Linked DNA regions of Caenorhabditis elegans. The protein of the gene in region 1 purifies or fractionates together with the protein of each later gene. This does not show direct contact. Each region holds a gene or a part of one and is shown on either strand. Other genes may lie near its edges.

Region 1 (8,143 bases):
GAGACCGGGTATCGTAATATTGAGGTACAAATGGCTAAATAATCGCAACTTGATATTACCGAATCGTCTGCACAATGGCCATCATCGTAGCCTTCGTTTCATTATTCTTGGGCACTGGCTCTGCAACAACATTCTCGGTTCGAACCATAATAATTCCTTTTTTCTGTTTTTCTCCAGTTGCTGATGGTGGTGTTGTCTTCTCTTCTTTCTCTTCTGTTGCTGAAATTTCTGGAGCCACTGAAGCCACTGAAGGTGCAAGTGGAGGTGGTGATGGTGGTGGAGTGAGTGGTGATGTTGCTGATGCTGCACGCTTTCCACGAGCACGTCTTCCATTCAATGGAGTCTCATTTTTCGGTGTAATTTCGTCAATTGGTTCAAGAGCACGAATTCTTCGATGAGCACTGAGTACCAGCTCAAGAACACTTCCCTGATCACGGACTTCGATAATTTGAACGAAAGAACCAGTTGGGTAGACTTCTGATAGAGATGTGATCGTTTCTTCTTTGTTTCTGGAAAAAAATATACTAATTTGCGCGGGAATTCAAAAATAATTCAGCAATTTTAATCCATTTTTTGTTGCAAAATTGAAAAAAATACAAAACAATTTTGAAAAAGTGTATAAATTTTTTAGAAGTTATAGTCGGTATATAGAAGATTGATTTTTTTCTGTTATTTGATGATTCCAATAACAAAAATGGTTCCAAATCAAAAATATCAGGCAAAAACTGTAAAAGCATTTCCTCGGGGAGTACACGAGCTCCGTATATCAACACATGACTAGTTTTTCGGCGATTGTTCCATTTTTAAGTCAAGAAGAGATCCATTCAAAAACTACATACTCATCGTCTCTCTTCACAAAAACTCCAGCATACGGCTGTTTCAGTGAAAGCTGTCGCCTGATCAGTGCTTTTAAATTGTCATCTTTCACGATCTGAAATTTTAATTTTCAGTTTTCCGCCAAATACGTTATCTAATCTCACATCAACTTTCTTGATAAATCCTGGAAATAGTGGATATCGATTGATAGCTAACATTGGGACATTTGGCATATCGGCTGGCACTTGAATCGGTGACATTCCTCCCTGAAAATCAATTAAAATCGTCTTTTAATGACTGAAATTCTAAAAAACTTACCAAATCTTTGTACAGTTCCAATGAGTCATCCACAGCGATTGGATCGTCATGAGTGGAATAAAACCTCCTTTCTCCTGAATTTCCTGCTAATTCCATAGATTTCATCATTAAAATCGATTGATTTCTTTGAGAAAATGTGGCAAAGCTTTGATGTGCTGAAGCAGCGGCAAGAAGCCGCGTGCGAGTTGCCCCGCGGAGTAAAACCGCTCCAGCGCGGTACATTTCTGTTGAACGGGGAGTAGGATAGGAGGATTCAAGACTTCAGAATAAAAAAGTAAAATGTGTCGCATTAAAACGTCAATAAAATATTAAAATCGTTGTAGATTGAAAATGAATTTATTATGGTTCAGAAGATGATTCTTATATCACACAGAAAAATGAAGAAGAGCTCATAAATAATTTAATTTAAAATAAATATTTGACCAGATCCCGAGTAAAACGTTTTTCTTTAGTTTTTGCATCATTGCCGATTTATTTCGTCTTCTTTGTCTCCTTTTTCTTGTCTCCAGATTCTTGTGGTTCCGCAGGTGTGTGCCACTGAAAATTAAAACATTTTATACGATTTCTGTAACTTTTTCTCACCACAATCGGGTTCTTTCTGAAGAGGAATGGCCATGGTGGAAGAATGATGAGAGCTGTGAACGCAGATGCTCCCAGCACTGTGAACATGGCATATGAAAGCTGTTGAGTCCAGAATCCAACGAGGAAGCCAATAATTCCAGCAATAGTGAGGATTACCTAAATTTTATTGCTTTATTTTATGTAATTTCAGTCAATCAATTGTGGTTTGTTACCTGGTAAGTTCTCTCGGCGACTTTCTGTCCTTGAAAATCAATATGCGACGATAGTTTCTGCAGTGGAGCAGGGAGCATTGCAATCATTCCGTCCATGGTTAATTATGTAATAATTAAAAATCAAATTCAGTTATAAAAATACAAAAAGATTAAAGCAAAACGAATTCGGAATAATTTTGTTCCAACACTCCTTCATACAATGACGTAAAATAGAGATTTTCCATGGAGCGCACTTGCACATTTCATATTTTGAAGAACATTTGCAAATATTTGTGGATTGAAAACCAGAAATAAATCTTAAATAAGCTTAAATTGATATATTATTAAATTCAATAAACTTTATTCTAATCAGGAAACAAATAAATTTCACACAAAAGAAAAAAACATACAGCTCGAACACAATTATGTGAACAAAGAAGAACAAAACAACGAATTAATACGATCGGACCTTTGGTGGAACCCAGTCGGTTTCAGATTTATCGAGAGTTTTGTCGATAACTGGGCGGTATGTCAAATCAACAGCTCCAGTTTTCGTATCGATACCGATGATGGAATGCTTGCGCCAGTGCTGATCAAACGGTTTTTTCTGCTGTCCCTCAAGTGGATTGCTGTAGTCATATTCGTCAATTCTTTCTTGGAAATCATCACGAGCGTGGGCTCCACGAGATTCAGTGCGATTTTCGGCGGCGACGATGGTTTGATTGGCGTTGATAAGCAAATTCTGAAGCTCGAGAGTTTCGACAAGCTCCGAATTCCATACTTTTCCAGAGTCGGCACACGCCTTCAAATTTTGTTGCTCTTTGTAGATGGAGGACATTTTATCGACTCCTTCCTGAAAATATCCAATATTTTTTGAAAATAGAATAAATCTGTATTTACTTACCTTCAAAAGATCGCCCCGTCTGAAAACAGCAGCATGTTTCTGCATTGTCATTTGCATCTTTTGTCTTAATTCGATAGATGAAATATCTCCTTTTGAGTGCAAAAGTCCGTTCAAATTGTCACACGATTTCTCTTCACAATTTACCGGAAGCTCCGGGATTGAATCTCCTGGTTTGTTCTCATTAAGGATACTGAAATCTTTAGTTTAAACCTGTTCAGATAAATGAAACTAACGTGAGAGCGCAAGATCTTCCAAAGATAACCAAATCTAGAAGGGAATTTGCTCCGAGACGATTTGCTCCATGAACTGAATGTGCTGCACATTCACCAGCGGCATAGAGTCCTGGAATCACTTTATCTCCTCCTTCAGGTGTGAAATCGAGAACTTGTCCCTTGTAATTCGTAGGAACTCCTCCCATGTTGTAGTGAACAGTTGGAATGACTGGAATCGGCTCTTTGGTTACATCCACACCAGCAAAGATTTGAGCGGTTTCCGAGATTCCTGAAAGAAAATTATTAACAATTGAAAACACTAATATCACGTACCTGGCAATCGTTGTTGAAGCTGTTCAGCTGGAAGATGATGCAATTGAAGGTAAATATGATCTTTGTTTGGTCCGACTCCTCTTCCTTCATTAATTTCCATAGTCATGGCTCTTGAAACAACATCTCTTGACGCTAAATCCTTGGCATTCGGTGCATATCTTTCCATAAATCGTTCTCCTTGCGAATTGACCAAATATCCACCCTCTCCTCGTGATCCTTCGGTGATCAAACATCCAACTCCGTAGATTCCAGTTGGATGGAATTGAACAAACTCCATATCAGAATTACGAATACCTGCACGAGCGGTAAGAGCGGTTCCATCACCAGTACAAGTGTGAGCAGATGTACACGAGAAGTAAGCTCTTCCATAGCCTCCGGTGGCGAGGACAGTGTTCTTTGCGCGGAAACGATGAATCTGTCCAGTTTCAATGTCCAGTGCAACGACGCCAATGCATTTTCCCTTATCCATAATCAAATCCAAAGCGAAATACTCGACAAAATAATTACAGTCGTATTGAAGAGATGCACCGTAGAGGGTATGAAGAAGTGAGTGTCCAGTTCTATCGGCCACACAGCAAGTACGGTGAGCCTGTCCTCCACGACCGAAATCATTAGATTGACCTCCAAAAGCCCGTTGATAAATTTTTCCGTCTGTTGTACGCGAGAAAGGCATTCCTGCAAGAAAATTGTTGTTTTTTAATGTTAGAGAATCTTATTGACCGTAATTTTCAAGTTCAATAATAGCTCTTTCGGCTTCTCGAGTCATATAGTGAATCGCGTCTTGATCTCCAAGCCAATCGGACCCTTTTACAGTGTCGTAGAAGTGCCAGCGCCAGTTATCTGGATTCATATTTCCCAAAGCGGCGTTCACACCTAAAAATCAAAATTTAAATTCTGTTCGTATACTTTGAGCGGCTCACCTCCTTGAGCCGCGACTGTGTGCGATCTTGTGGGGAAAAGCTTCGTAATGACGGCAGTTTTCATTCCACCTTCGGAGAGTCCCATCGCAGCTCTCAAACCGGCTCCTCCTGCTCCCACAACAACCGCGTCAAAAGTGTGATCAACGACATCAAAATTGGTGGTTGCGCTCACTTGTTTTCTTTGAAAATTGATAAAATTAGTGAAATGGCGTTAGAAAATAAATTATCTCACTTCATATAAGTGCGAACAGGTGTTTTCGCACGGTTTATCGACTTTACGACATTAAGCATCTTGCTGAAAATACAGGAAAAATATAGAACGTTCAGAAAAACAAATAAAAATCCGATAACGGTTGAGGTGAAACCAAAAATGAGTTGGCCGCGCGAACGATACACCGTAGTTCACACTTTCGGTGCGAGACCCACCGCTCAATTTTTGTTCCTGCGCCTTTAAGTTTGAAACAACTACGGTACATTTTTCTCTATTTATTTACATGAAATTTCTGAAAAGAAACGTTTCATTTGAAATTTTATCGTAAATTTACATCTTCATTTCATAAAATTCCAGAAGAGAAAAACAATACACAAACACGACTTTTAAAAACCAAAGGCCTGTCGTTCATTTTCGAAAACTAACAGTCTAAAAATGAAAACAAAAAAAAAAAGAAAATGATGTTTTATTGATAGGGGCCTAGAGCAGGACACGAACTCGAAGATTAGTTTGCCAATCCATCCAGATGAATGGTATTTACCAGAACCACTTGGACATCCATTGTGGGAACCAATTATCGTAGAATTTCGGTCCAGCGTACTCAGAGTGTTGGCGCCAAAGATGATCACGGGTTTCATTTGATCCCCTTGAGTGAACGAATACCTAAAAAATATGATAAGCTCCAGAATTGTTATAAATTTTTTACCTCAGTAGCAGTTGGATCCCACCACTTGTCTCCGAGAGTAAAGTACACTGGCTCTCCGTACCAGGTTCCAGTCTTCCATCCTGGAACATCCTTCATAATTTCCTCTTCCAGAGCACGATTCTTGGCCAACAATTTGAGCCAATATCTGTCACGCTCGGCAGTCAAGAACGGCTCCATTGCGTTGTTGATGTCAACATCTTCGAACTTTTCAGTGCTGTAAACTTGATATTTTTGGAGATAAATTCACTAGTTATCTTACATGTCCTTCTTCTTTCCTTCAAGAGCAGCATAGACTCCGTAGGCAGTAGCTCCGAAAATGGCGGCGACGACGGTTCCAGCTTAAATTTGTGATTGATTTTAAGAAAGTTTTGTGTTTTGAATCAAAATTTGATAGACAGAAACTTAAAAATAGAATACTGTTTCAACAATAAATTTGATAAAAATGTATTTATTCTTCGCGTTATATTATTTATAGAAAATAGTGTGAAATATCAAAAATTACAGCAAAATAGCAAACTGATCCCAAAATATTATGCTAAAAACGTTCTCTGTCATTTATATTTTATTGCTCAAGACAAACAGCTTTATTTTTATAAATAGCGTCTAAGCCTTTTTATTCTTTAAAGTTTCTTGAGAATCGTTTTTCAAAATATTTATTCTGTATTTCACAGCATTCTTCTCAATTTTTTCGGCGTTTTGCGTTGTTTCATTTCGAGTAATATTTTAAAGCAAAAAAAAACAACTCACGACTCCAGACAAGCTTCGGAAAAGTGCGATGGAAGTTGAATGCACGATAGCCTCCTTTTGGAGGCATATCCTGCCGAAACTCTGCTCCAGTGGCCATTTTACCTGAAAATAATGAATATAAATTCGATAAAAAACCGAATAAATTATAAAAATCGATAATTTCGTTGAGGAAAAAAAAACTTGCAAACAGAATAGAAATTGATAAGTCGGGCAAAATGTGCGGCACGGGAATGTGGGCGTGGTCTTCGTCGCAACACTGCGGCGCACTTTCACAGCGATTTATTATTTTGGCGCGTTTATCTTTTTTTTTTGAAGACGTATTTTGCATTTATCGCTTGTTTTCTTCTTGAAATTGCTTTTTTAATATAAAAATCTGCTTTCAAACAAAATTCAAACTTATTTTCAGTACTAAAATGAATCCAAATCATAATGAAGGCCTCCTCGAGCTGTACACACAAGCAATCTCACTCGAAGCTCTCAAAGACGCTGAGCAATTCCTCGAGAATAGTTTGCTAGGAAAAGATGCACAAGTCGAACGTCTACTCGCTCAAGTTCTCATCGAAGAGCAGCAAATCGAGACGAATCGCAAAAAGATAGCACAATTGAGAATCGAGAAAGAAGAACTGGAATTCGGTGGGTTTTCGGAACTTTTCTGGTTTTATAATAATAATTAATTAATTAATTTAAATTCAGATTGTGCAAATAGTGACCTGAAGTCGTTGGAGCAGATGCAAGCCGAGCGAGATGAGCTCCAGAGGAAGTGCCAACCGGGGCAGCACACTAAATCGGTGAGATAGGGGAGATTTTGAAGCTGAGAAATGCTTTTTGTTATCTGAAAACATTCAGCGTTTCTATTATTATTTTTAATTCTAGAATCACAAATCATCTGAACAACTTTTGAGAATGAAAAAAGAAACCGACGCTCTACGTGCCTACATGAAGAAGATAAGTCAATTCGAAGACTGAAGCCATCAAATGAATCTCTATCAATTATCCCTCAATTTAAATTAATTTCCATTCAAATCGATCTGTTCTCATATTTCCTCATGATGTGATTCTCTAATCTTTTGTACATCTACAAGTTATTTTGTTTTATAAAGCCACATCTCACTTATGCATAGTTTTTGTGTCCAAAACGGAAGTGTTATTGGGAAGAAAAAGTACAACATAAGGGAAGAGTGAAGAAAATCGAGAGACGCAGATATGACTTTTTATTTGCGAACACGAAAAGCAAAGTGACCAGCAGCATTGGACACTTTTCGAGCAAACTTTTCGTCCGAGGAGGAGCTCATTGAGCTTAAGTCTCAGAGCACTGACCATTACTTCGGTCACTCTACTGTTTTGAGAAGCGTTGAGCTCTTTCAATCGTGTAAAAATGTTACCAAAAACTGGATCATTCGATGGGATTCCTAAAAATTTCAGAGCAAGTTTGAGAAGTGAGTATTTATGGTCTCGAAATTTTTTTTAAATCTTGAATTCTTATTTTTGTTTTTCTTTCTCTAGTTACTCCCAGGATTAAACCAGTAAATTAAAAAAATGCACTTAAAAATTCGATAACTTCCTAGAGTAACTTCCTACTGTAAATTTAAAGGCGCATACACAAAATATTTTTCATAACGCGCGGCAAGACCAATCCACTAAATTCGTCCTCCCTTGAAGTTTTTCTGCCAAATTTCTCATTTTTCAGAATAAATTCCTGAAAACTTTTGAATTCAAAATTTTCGTGCTTAAAAATAAGATGTACGAGACAATGTAAACACCAAATATTATTGCACATGACCCCCGCTAATCTGTATTGAAGTAAACATTTTTTGGCTGAAGTTTTTTTGTGGAAAATTTTTCACAGAAAATTTTTTAGTTTTTGTGCGGTTTCGGGCGTCTTTATCTAAAGAATTCCAGAAACTAACAGCGAAGACGGATCGGACATTTTCGATTACATGGATGAGGGAATTACGAGAAGGTAAATTGATTTTTTTTTCTCATTTTTCAAAATTTAATCTTTTTCTTTTTTGCTGCTACCGTACCCTGCCCACGGTCAATTCCATTTCTTTTATTTTTCAAAAATTCTCTTGAAACTTTTTTCGTTATTTTTTCGATAAATTTTCCAAAGAAAAACATTTTAAAGAAAAAAGTATCCAGAAAATGGCTACTGTAGATGAAAAGCGTCGATCGTGCCAAGACCCGATGTCTTGATTTTGGGGGA
Region 2 (8,631 bases), on another chromosome or scaffold:
TTAAAAATAAGTTTTTATCAGCATTTGAAACAAAAAAAAAGAAAACTAAATTCATAATTACACAATTTTCAATATAGATGATTCACCTACCTTACGAGAAAAGTTTCAAATTGATCATCACTTTTAAATGAATCGCAACATTTTTCAATTTTTGCGTCAAAAATACGGTATTTGGTCTCGACACGGCCATTTTCTGTTAAGTAGAAACAGGTGTGCGTCCTTAAAGAGTACTGTAGTTTCAAACTTCTGCTGTTGCGGCCCTAGGATCGATTTTTCATAGTTTTTCTCAGATTTTGTTTAAATTTATGAGTTTTAAATTTTGTAATTTCAGTTTTTTTAATAATCAAATATATTTTAAACGAACAGCGATGAAAAATCTATGAAAATTCCACAGCAACGAAAATTTGAAACTACCGTACTCTTTAAAGGCGCACGTTTTTGTGATAAAGAAAAATTGTCGTCGTTAAATAATAATCTATCTGTAAACGATAAATTTGCATCGAAGATTTTTTAAATTATTTTGTCCGCGTTTACAACAAAACAAATTCCAGTGAATCCATGGGTTTGCGTGTGCAACGACCCGAAAGAATGGCTTCCACGATGGCTTGAGGCATCTGAGGAGGCAGATGTTGCTGAAGGAGCACTCGGATGCTTGGCAATCCCAAATTGCGGACAGAAAGAAGGATCCACAGTAATGCCAGAAGAGGAAGAAGTTTATCGATCTGGATGGATTACTGTAGCTGCCACCATTTTGACAATTGTCACAATTGTTATTATGGTCATTATTGCTATGCTTTATTTCAAGGATGCTAGATACCAGGTATATATTAGTTTTTCCTGCTGAAAATGAAGTACAATTATTTAATTTAATTTTCAGTTCCCACTTCGCGGTCGTCGTTCTGATTCTGATCTTCATAAACTGATTGAGAATGATCCATTGAACATCGCATCTGACTCAATTCTCGTCGTTCCAGCAATGCCAAAGAGGAATACTGGGCCGAAGAAGACTGTACGATTCCAGAATTTTTAAAGAAGAAAAATTTCATAACCTCAAATCAACAAAAAAACACTCACTGGATAATAATAATTCATATTCTCCCCGGTTGAATACCTCATTTTTCTTCGCTTTTCTTCTTCTGTAAATAGCCATTTGAAAAGTTTTCTTTTCTATTCCTTCTCTCGTCCCAACCCCCAACTCGATACGTGTTCTTTCATTTTTCTTGTTTTCTCAATCTCTCTCTTCAATACTTCTCTCTCTCACCCCTTCTGAACCACCCAACTTATCAGGTATCCACCACTGATCTTTTTGAAATCTTCATCGAACAAGTTTTCAACATGTACCTATAGGCACCGCGATCCCTGTCAAATATCCAATTTTTCTAATATTAATATTATTGTTATGACATAATAAACAATGCACTAAGTAATTAAAATTTCGAAAATTTTATTCACAAGAAACTGGGCAAGCAATCACACGAATTTGTTACAAGTATAATATGACACATTAACTAGACTAAATTCTTGAAACTCGAATACATATGAGGAGCTGGGTGAAAAGATTCAGAAGATATCCAAAACTTTCTGATTAATCGCCATCTTTTTGTGTTCAGTGTAAGCTGCACTGTTCTCGTGAACCTTCTCCAAATCGTATCTGAAAATTAAATTTTTAGACTCAAAAAAGGTTCGACCGAGTCATACCTGTAGTTTACCATAATTCCAAAACTGTTATTGATCCCTCTATGACTCGTATCTCCATTCCAATTCAGTCTATACAACTCTGCGCCGTTTCTAATGTGGAAGTTTGCTTAAAATAATTTTTTTTTCAATGCTTATCGATAAAATCATGCTTACCAACTGAATTTAAAGCCATTCCATTTCGTTTTGCATTACAAAGATAATGAGCACACGCGTACATCAAAATGTGCTGGATTGCATTGAGCTGCTCCTTTTTCGTTTTTTCATTGCTTATGACTTTCAGTAGAGTTTCGGTTGCTTCTACTTCGTTCATTTCCCTTTCAGATATATCAGAAATCCAATTGACAACCTTTTCATTCATAATTGAAGCTGAAAAAACATTGAAAGTAACTCAATTGTCTAAAAATGTACAGCTTACGATATTCTGAATTCCCTTTCAGATTTCTGATAAGCCAAGGTCGGAAACCAGGAATCGGAGATAATGTTGAATGAGTTGTGACTGATGGAACATCTTTTTGAAGTTTAGTGGCGACTTTCTTGATGAGCATATTTCCGAGATCAATACCAGAAAGACCTGAAAACGAATAAAACATGTAATGAATACATTTCTTAAATTTTACCAGGCTGTGTAGAAGTGATTGAATAATAAATTGCAGTTGTTTGATCTTCTTCTTTTCCAGTCGGTGCTCCTCTTTTTGTGATTTCTTGTACACTATCCGCTATCTCATCAACTAATGCCACGTGAACCATCACAAGTGGGTTCCGGGGAAGAGCTTCGTGGGAAAAATAGAAACATCTGAGAAAATGAAATTTTAGTTTTTTATTTTTATTTCATAATTACCGTCTCAACGGACCAAGACGTTTTCTGAAATCTGAAAGTCCTCTAACTGGATGAACTGCCTCATATTCGGCGACTTTCTGTAGAATATCTCCAGGAGATGACCACGTAAGTCGTTCCAATTTTAGATTTCCTAAAGAAAACCATGAAGTTAATACTTCTCTAGTGGCCAGTTCAATGTGACGGAGATATGATGTTGTAGTTTTGTCAGTTTCCCGTTTTAGAAGTGCCTGAAAATAATTATATATTCGATGCTAATTTTATTTTAATTTTAATACCAAAATATTAGCCCTCATTTCACAGACTTGCATAACTCCTCCCGGTAAATTTCCAATTGATTTTATCAAATTCACATAAGAAGCTGTTGCTGATGTTCTTACTTCCGGGTACATTTGATCATTCTGAACTTTACAATTTTTGGTCATACGATGTCAATGATAATAACCAACCTTAGAATATAGAGAAATCGCATGATTTAGGGCTTCTTTGTTTACACCATAGTTTGTGACGAGATCTACGAAAATCGATTTTCGAGTTTCTGGCGTGGAATTGGCATATAATTTGGAAAACTTCTCGCTATAAGTCTGAAAAATAAAATTTTTTCAAATAATTGGAAAATATAGTTCAACTTACGAGTAACTTATCTCCACTTGTTCGATTTGTGAGTCCGTCTAAAGTAGATAATAATGTGGAAGAATATCGAATCGAGTAAAAATGTGAATATCGACGAAGCATTATTTACATCAACCTACAAAATAATTATCTATGGGGGAAAATAACAGTTTCATAGCGCGAAACATTCTCGAAACAGTCCGGGAGCATGTAAATCAGCAAAACGAACAAATAAAAAGATAATCAAGTAACAGTTAACGTTTTAAATAGTAGTTAATAAAATAATAAAGACTTTGTAACTTCAGCCAAAACTATTTCTTGGATACCGATTTCTGTATAAGAAATAGACGCTATTTTTGGAAAAAGGCGTGCCAGGTTCTACATGAAACAACTATTTCAAAGAGTTTTCAATGAAACAAACTTTAAAGAACAATCCTAAGACATTTATTTCTACACAAAAATCACTAATAGATCACCTGATAAGCGCTTGAGACAACCAACAAAACAAAACAACGAAGCAACAACAATTCGGCGGCGAAAATCAATCAAGCGCCAACTGCTGTTCGAATTCCCGGATTTCCCCGGCAGTTGGCTTGAATTGCAATCTAGACTAGAAGTAAACACAAACCAATGAACCCTCAAATAGAGAGAAAAAGCAAAAATATTTGAAATAGATAGAAATGAACGAAAATGGACAAAATAAACATAAAAGACGAAAATGAAAATGTCGCGCGGCGGAATTGCGAGAAACACGTGCGGCGCTTGCAAATCAATCGGTCGGCTCGTTCCGCCCTCTTTTTTTGTGCATATAATTTCTGAAAATTATCTGTTTAGTGATAAATCTGAGTTTTCATAATGATAATGATGATATCGGGAAGATTTAATGTTTTTTGTTAAAGTTTTGAAATATACTATACCCTTCTATTTAAAAAATTGGCTACTATTCTGACATGCACTTTTAAAAGTACATTTTTAAACTGTTGTTTTTCTAGTAAATTCCATTTTTTTAACATTTCAGGTAAAAACAAGATGTCGAGCAACGTCCTCGGTCATACACTTCGCTCTTCGAAGAATGTCGTGCAAAAGGCGTTCGTCGCGACTTCACCGAACTCCGATATGCTCCGATTCCGTTCTCCAGTTCTTCAAACTAACACAGTAAGTAATTCATTTTTATCTGCTATTAATATCAATTTTCAGACTAAGCTGGCTCGTTATGGAGGACGTCACAACGTCACAGTCTTGCCAGGAGATGGAATTGGACCAGAAATGCTCCATCATGTCGAGAGAATCCTTTCAGCAGTTCAAGCTCCAGTAGATTTCGAAGTGGTTAATTTGACCTCAAAGGAAGATGCATCTGAAGATCTTGCTGAGGCTATCACTGCTATCAAGAGAAATGGTGTTGCTTTGAAGGTATTTTTGTTGAAAGATTAAAATCAAATTTAATTTTTTTTTTTTGAAGGGAAACATTGAAACTAAGTTTGATAACCCAAGCTTCGTTTCCCGAAACTTGGAACTTCGTCGTCAACTCAATCTTTACGCAAACGTTCTTCACTGTTCCACTATTCCAACTGTTCCAAGCAGACACACTGTAAGAATTTTTTTAAATCGATTTGTACAAATTTCAAATGAAAAGCTTTAGGGAATCGATATGGTTATCATCCGTGAGAATACTGAAGGCGAGTACTCTGGAAATGAGCACGAAGCCGTTAATGCTCCACATCCTCGTGTTGTCGAATCTTTGAAGGTTGGGATTATCAACTGAGATTTAGTCCTAATTTCAAATTTAAAGGTTGTTACTCGCGAAAAATCGGAACAAATTACTCGTTTTGCATTCCAATTCGCAAAGAAATATGGAAGAAAGAAGGTTACTGCTGTTCACAAGGCCAACATTCAAAAGTTGGGAGACGGTCTTTTCCTTAAAGTAGCCACTGATATCGCCAAGGCCGAGTATCCAGATATTGAATTCAATGCTATGATTGTCGATAATGCTTCCATGCAGTTGGTGGGTTGTTTATTTATTCATCAAAATAAATGTTCTGAAAAAAGACGAATAATTAAAAATCCTTATTTATTTCCAGGTTTCACGCCCACAACAATTCGATGTTATGTTAATGCCAAATCTCTATGGAAACATCATTTCAAACATTGCTTGTGGACTCGTCGGAGGTCCAGGACTTGTTTCTGGAATGAACATTGGAGAAGATTACGCCGTCTTTGAAACAGTTAGCATATTGATGAAAATATTAAATAACATTTGTTTTTTTCAGGGAACCCGTAACACCGGAACCACTCTTGCTGGAAAAGATCTTGCCAATCCAACTGCGTTCATCCGTGCCGCCGTTGATATGCTTCGTTTCCTCGGACTTCAATCACACGCCGATATGATCTCCGATTCATTGTTCCGTACGCTTGTTGATAAGAGAATTCACACCGCTGATATTGGAGGAACTTCTAAGGTAAGAATTTCATTAATTTTCTAAAGTTGTATATATTAAATTCTTACCTTTTCTTTATTTAAAAGTAGAGTAGAGTCGTTTTGGAATTTTGCTCAAGATGATATCCATAAATGGACCGTAATTTAAAAATTTATACAATTTTTCTAATATTTTGCAAAATTAAAAAATAAGATAAGTGTTTCTGAATTTCCGCGCGAATAAGTAGAATAGTTTTTTTGCGTTTTTCGGCTGTACTGAGTGATTACTCTTAATTTTGTTTTTTTAGTATTTGGTATAAAACACACATACATTTTCCGCAAAGAAATTTATGAATTATCGAGTTTTAGGCTAATTTTTGAAATGTTTTCGAATTTATTTCGGTTTATGAAGTTTTCTTTGCGGAAAAAATATTTGAAAAATTGCCGGAAAAGGCAAAAATGTCGGAACTCACATTTTTTATTCTTGCAAAATTGGAAAAATCATAGAAAAAATGTTATAAATTTTTTTACAGTTATTATGGTCCATTTTCGATGATTTTAAGCAAAACTTCAAAACGACTTCACTTTTTAGAACATTAACTTTATAAGTACTTTTTAAAAATGCACTACAAAACTTTAATTTAATAAATTTTCAGTCATCGGAACTCGTTCAATCAGTACTCGACTTCATCGAGAAGGAGCTCGAGGACCGCAACTACCGTGTCTAATTTCTACCTGATAATCGAAAGTTTGAAACATCCCACATAGTGGCTAGCTTTACCCTTACGTTCTTTTCCTCTGTTTTTTTTTCGATTAATCCATGATTCGTAGCATAATGCGTTACTCATTGTGCTCTTTCTCTGTTTGACCCCGTTGACTGAACGTTTCCGCCTGATGTCTCTTATCTTGTTCCTTTCTTCCTCATCTCTGTACCCACAATTTTCTTTGGATTTTAATTTTTTCTGATTGTTTGAATTTTTCTCATTTCCAGTATAGTACAATATTATAAAATTGGTTTAGTGAAATTCGATACTCTGTTAATAATGTTAATATTAGGTTACTGTCACAAAGTTAAGTACTCCCCCCACCAATATGCTCTTAACCTAATTAGTCAATACTTGAGAGCTGCTTGAAAAAAGGCGGAGTTTACTACTGTAGCTACTGTATCTTTTTGAATGCTCCCTAGCTCACTTTAATATTATTCATTTTTTGCCACAACTATTCTATTCTTTATTTCACCAGACTATCTAGGAAATATTGAACTAATACAAATTTTAGTTCAATATACCGGATGGTCTGGTGAAAGCAACATGCGTTGTAAGTTCTTTTTCAAAATCAAATGTCGATCGAACATTTCAATTCGAAATAATTTATTTCGGGTCAGAAAAATTGTACTAAAACTTGCAGAAAAAAAGTTGAAAAAAGAATTAATAAATTACAGAAAATATGCATATGAAACTGGGAGATTGAGTCTATCACAACTACATGCGTGGGTGGATACCAAAATATGAAAATTACAAGGAAAGCATATTCCATATTATACATATCATAAGTACATTGGCGGGAAAATACCAAAAGAAAATAAATAATTGAGAAAATAAGTGATTCTAAATTTGACACAACGACAACTTTGGGGGGAGGGTGAATTGCAAATCACTAAAAAGAACAAATTGTGTAATATATAAAAAGAAATATGAAAAATTCCAGTTTACAAGTCGGTTGGATCATCATGATCTTCCGGTTGGAAGGATGTATTCACAAATGATGCATTTTTGCCAGTCAGTGACGATTTTTTATCTTCTGAAACAGTAAATTTTAATTTTAAATAAAACATTAGTTTTTCTATACGGAAGGGTCGTCGTAAATTATTCTGTTTAAAAAAACCAAAAATTTCAGTTTCTTTTTGAAACAAACTTTAAAATTTTGGTCAGTTTTATTTTTTTAGCGATCGGAAATTTTTTAAAAGAAAAGATCGAAACTTTATTACTTTATTTACAAACAAATATATTGAATTTCATTAGAAAAATATGAAAATTTCTTTTAAAAATTTGATTTTTTGAAACCTAGCCTCATATTTTGGCTATTTTCATATTATCGGATATTCCAGTTTTTCCGAAATTGTTTGTTAACCTTTTTTAAAAGATTAACTCTAAAAAAGTTTTGAAAAATATAAATTATTTTCAGAAAAGTAGGGACTAGATGTATCAAAAAAGGTTGAATTTCATTACAAAAATATTAAATTTTCTTTAAAATCAAAGAACTCAAAAATCTTAAACTCTTTTTTCGTATTTCATAACTTTCTTTTTCAGAATTTTTTGTTAAAAACCGACAAAAAATCTGAAAACTGACTGGATGATTTTTTAACAACTGGAGGCATTGGAGAAGAGAACTGCAAATCATTTGCAACAATTGATGGATGTGATGATCGTAATCCAAATGTGCTCTTTTTCTTTTTCTTATTCGAAAAAGTTGTTGCTCCATCATTCGTCCATATTTCAGCTTCAGATCCATCGGTTTCAGGTTCAGAGGATCCTTTTTCTCGATATTCTTCTAATTTTAATTTATCCTTCTTCCCATCTTTTTTCTCTTTTTTCTTCTCCTTTTTCAACAATTTCTCCTTTTTACCCAAAGCCACTGGAATCGTTGCAGTCGTCTCTTGTGTTGGAGAAGCTTCTGTTGGTTTCTTTGGAAGAGGTGGTGGTGGTGGATCCGTAGGTGCGCCAACAGAAATTAAAGTTCCAATAATTGGCTCACAAGGGACTGTATCAGAGTCTCGAACAGCTTCAGGAAACGATGTATTTGACATTGATGGAATTATTGAAACAGGAGCAGCTGTGGGTAGATCCGGCTGAAAAGGGCTATTATAAAATCTCAAAAATAACTTTAAAAATGAGTTTTTATAAGCTTTTCTACATTACATTTTTTGGCGAAAGTTAGTTTTTTTTCATCGAAAAATATTAAAATTCTACAGCAACGAAAGTTTGAAACTACAGTACTATTTAAAGGCTGACGCCTTTTTTCATTTGACTCAAGTCTGGCGCTTCGAGACCGAGTACCGTAAAATTTCGCGTTA

What was found.
Region 2: the proteins of sdha-2 (region 1) and idhg-1 fractionate together in Caenorhabditis elegans (co-fractionation; one large-scale study listed by BioGRID). This does not show direct contact.

The regions. Positions count from the first base shown.
Region 1 is NC_003279.8:10,681,017-10,689,159, forward strand, and holds sdha-2 (Succinate dehydrogenase [ubiquinone] flavoprotein subunit, mitochondrial), read right to left. Parts: upstream 4,572-8,143; 5' UTR 4,568-4,571; coding exon 4,509-4,567; intron 4,456-4,508; coding exon 4,277-4,455; intron 4,230-4,276; coding exon 4,077-4,229; intron 4,032-4,076; coding exon 3,357-4,031; intron 3,313-3,356; coding exon 3,045-3,312; intron 3,002-3,044; coding exon 2,812-3,001; intron 2,761-2,811; coding exon 2,362-2,760; 3' UTR 2,254-2,361; downstream 1-2,253. Other genes in the region: lonp-1 (Lon protease homolog, mitochondrial), read right to left, coding at 60-509, 840-931, 981-1,082, 1,135-1,356; spcs-1 (Signal peptidase complex subunit 1), read right to left, coding at 1,606-1,671, 1,717-1,872, 1,929-2,024; ndua-13 (NADH dehydrogenase [ubiquinone] 1 alpha subcomplex subunit 13), read right to left, coding at 5,025-5,150, 5,194-5,407, 5,453-5,531, 5,941-6,037; kbp-5 (KNL (kinetochore null) Binding Protein), read left to right, coding at 6,354-6,573, 6,634-6,728, 6,814-6,906; tag-272 (Structural protein), read left to right, coding at 7,316-7,376, 7,840-7,900.
Region 2 is NC_003281.10:4,564,850-4,573,480, forward strand, and holds idhg-1 (Isocitrate dehydrogenase [NAD] subunit, mitochondrial), read left to right. Parts: upstream 1-4,163; 5' UTR 4,164-4,174; coding exon 4,175-4,300; intron 4,301-4,342; coding exon 4,343-4,555; intron 4,556-4,604; coding exon 4,605-4,733; intron 4,734-4,784; coding exon 4,785-4,889; intron 4,890-4,934; coding exon 4,935-5,147; intron 5,148-5,223; coding exon 5,224-5,367; intron 5,368-5,412; coding exon 5,413-5,601; intron 5,602-6,214; coding exon 6,215-6,286; 3' UTR 6,287-7,016; downstream 7,017-8,631. Other genes in the region: pan-1 (P-granule-associated novel protein 1), read left to right, coding at 552-820, 878-1,030; mlcd-1 (Malonyl-CoA decarboxylase, mitochondrial), read right to left, coding at 1,561-1,651, 1,699-1,804, 1,852-2,064, 2,114-2,269, 2,316-2,491, 2,537-2,763, 2,812-2,934, 2,983-3,117 and 1 more; Serine/threonine-protein kinase sel-5, read right to left, coding at 7,267-7,358, 7,908-8,406.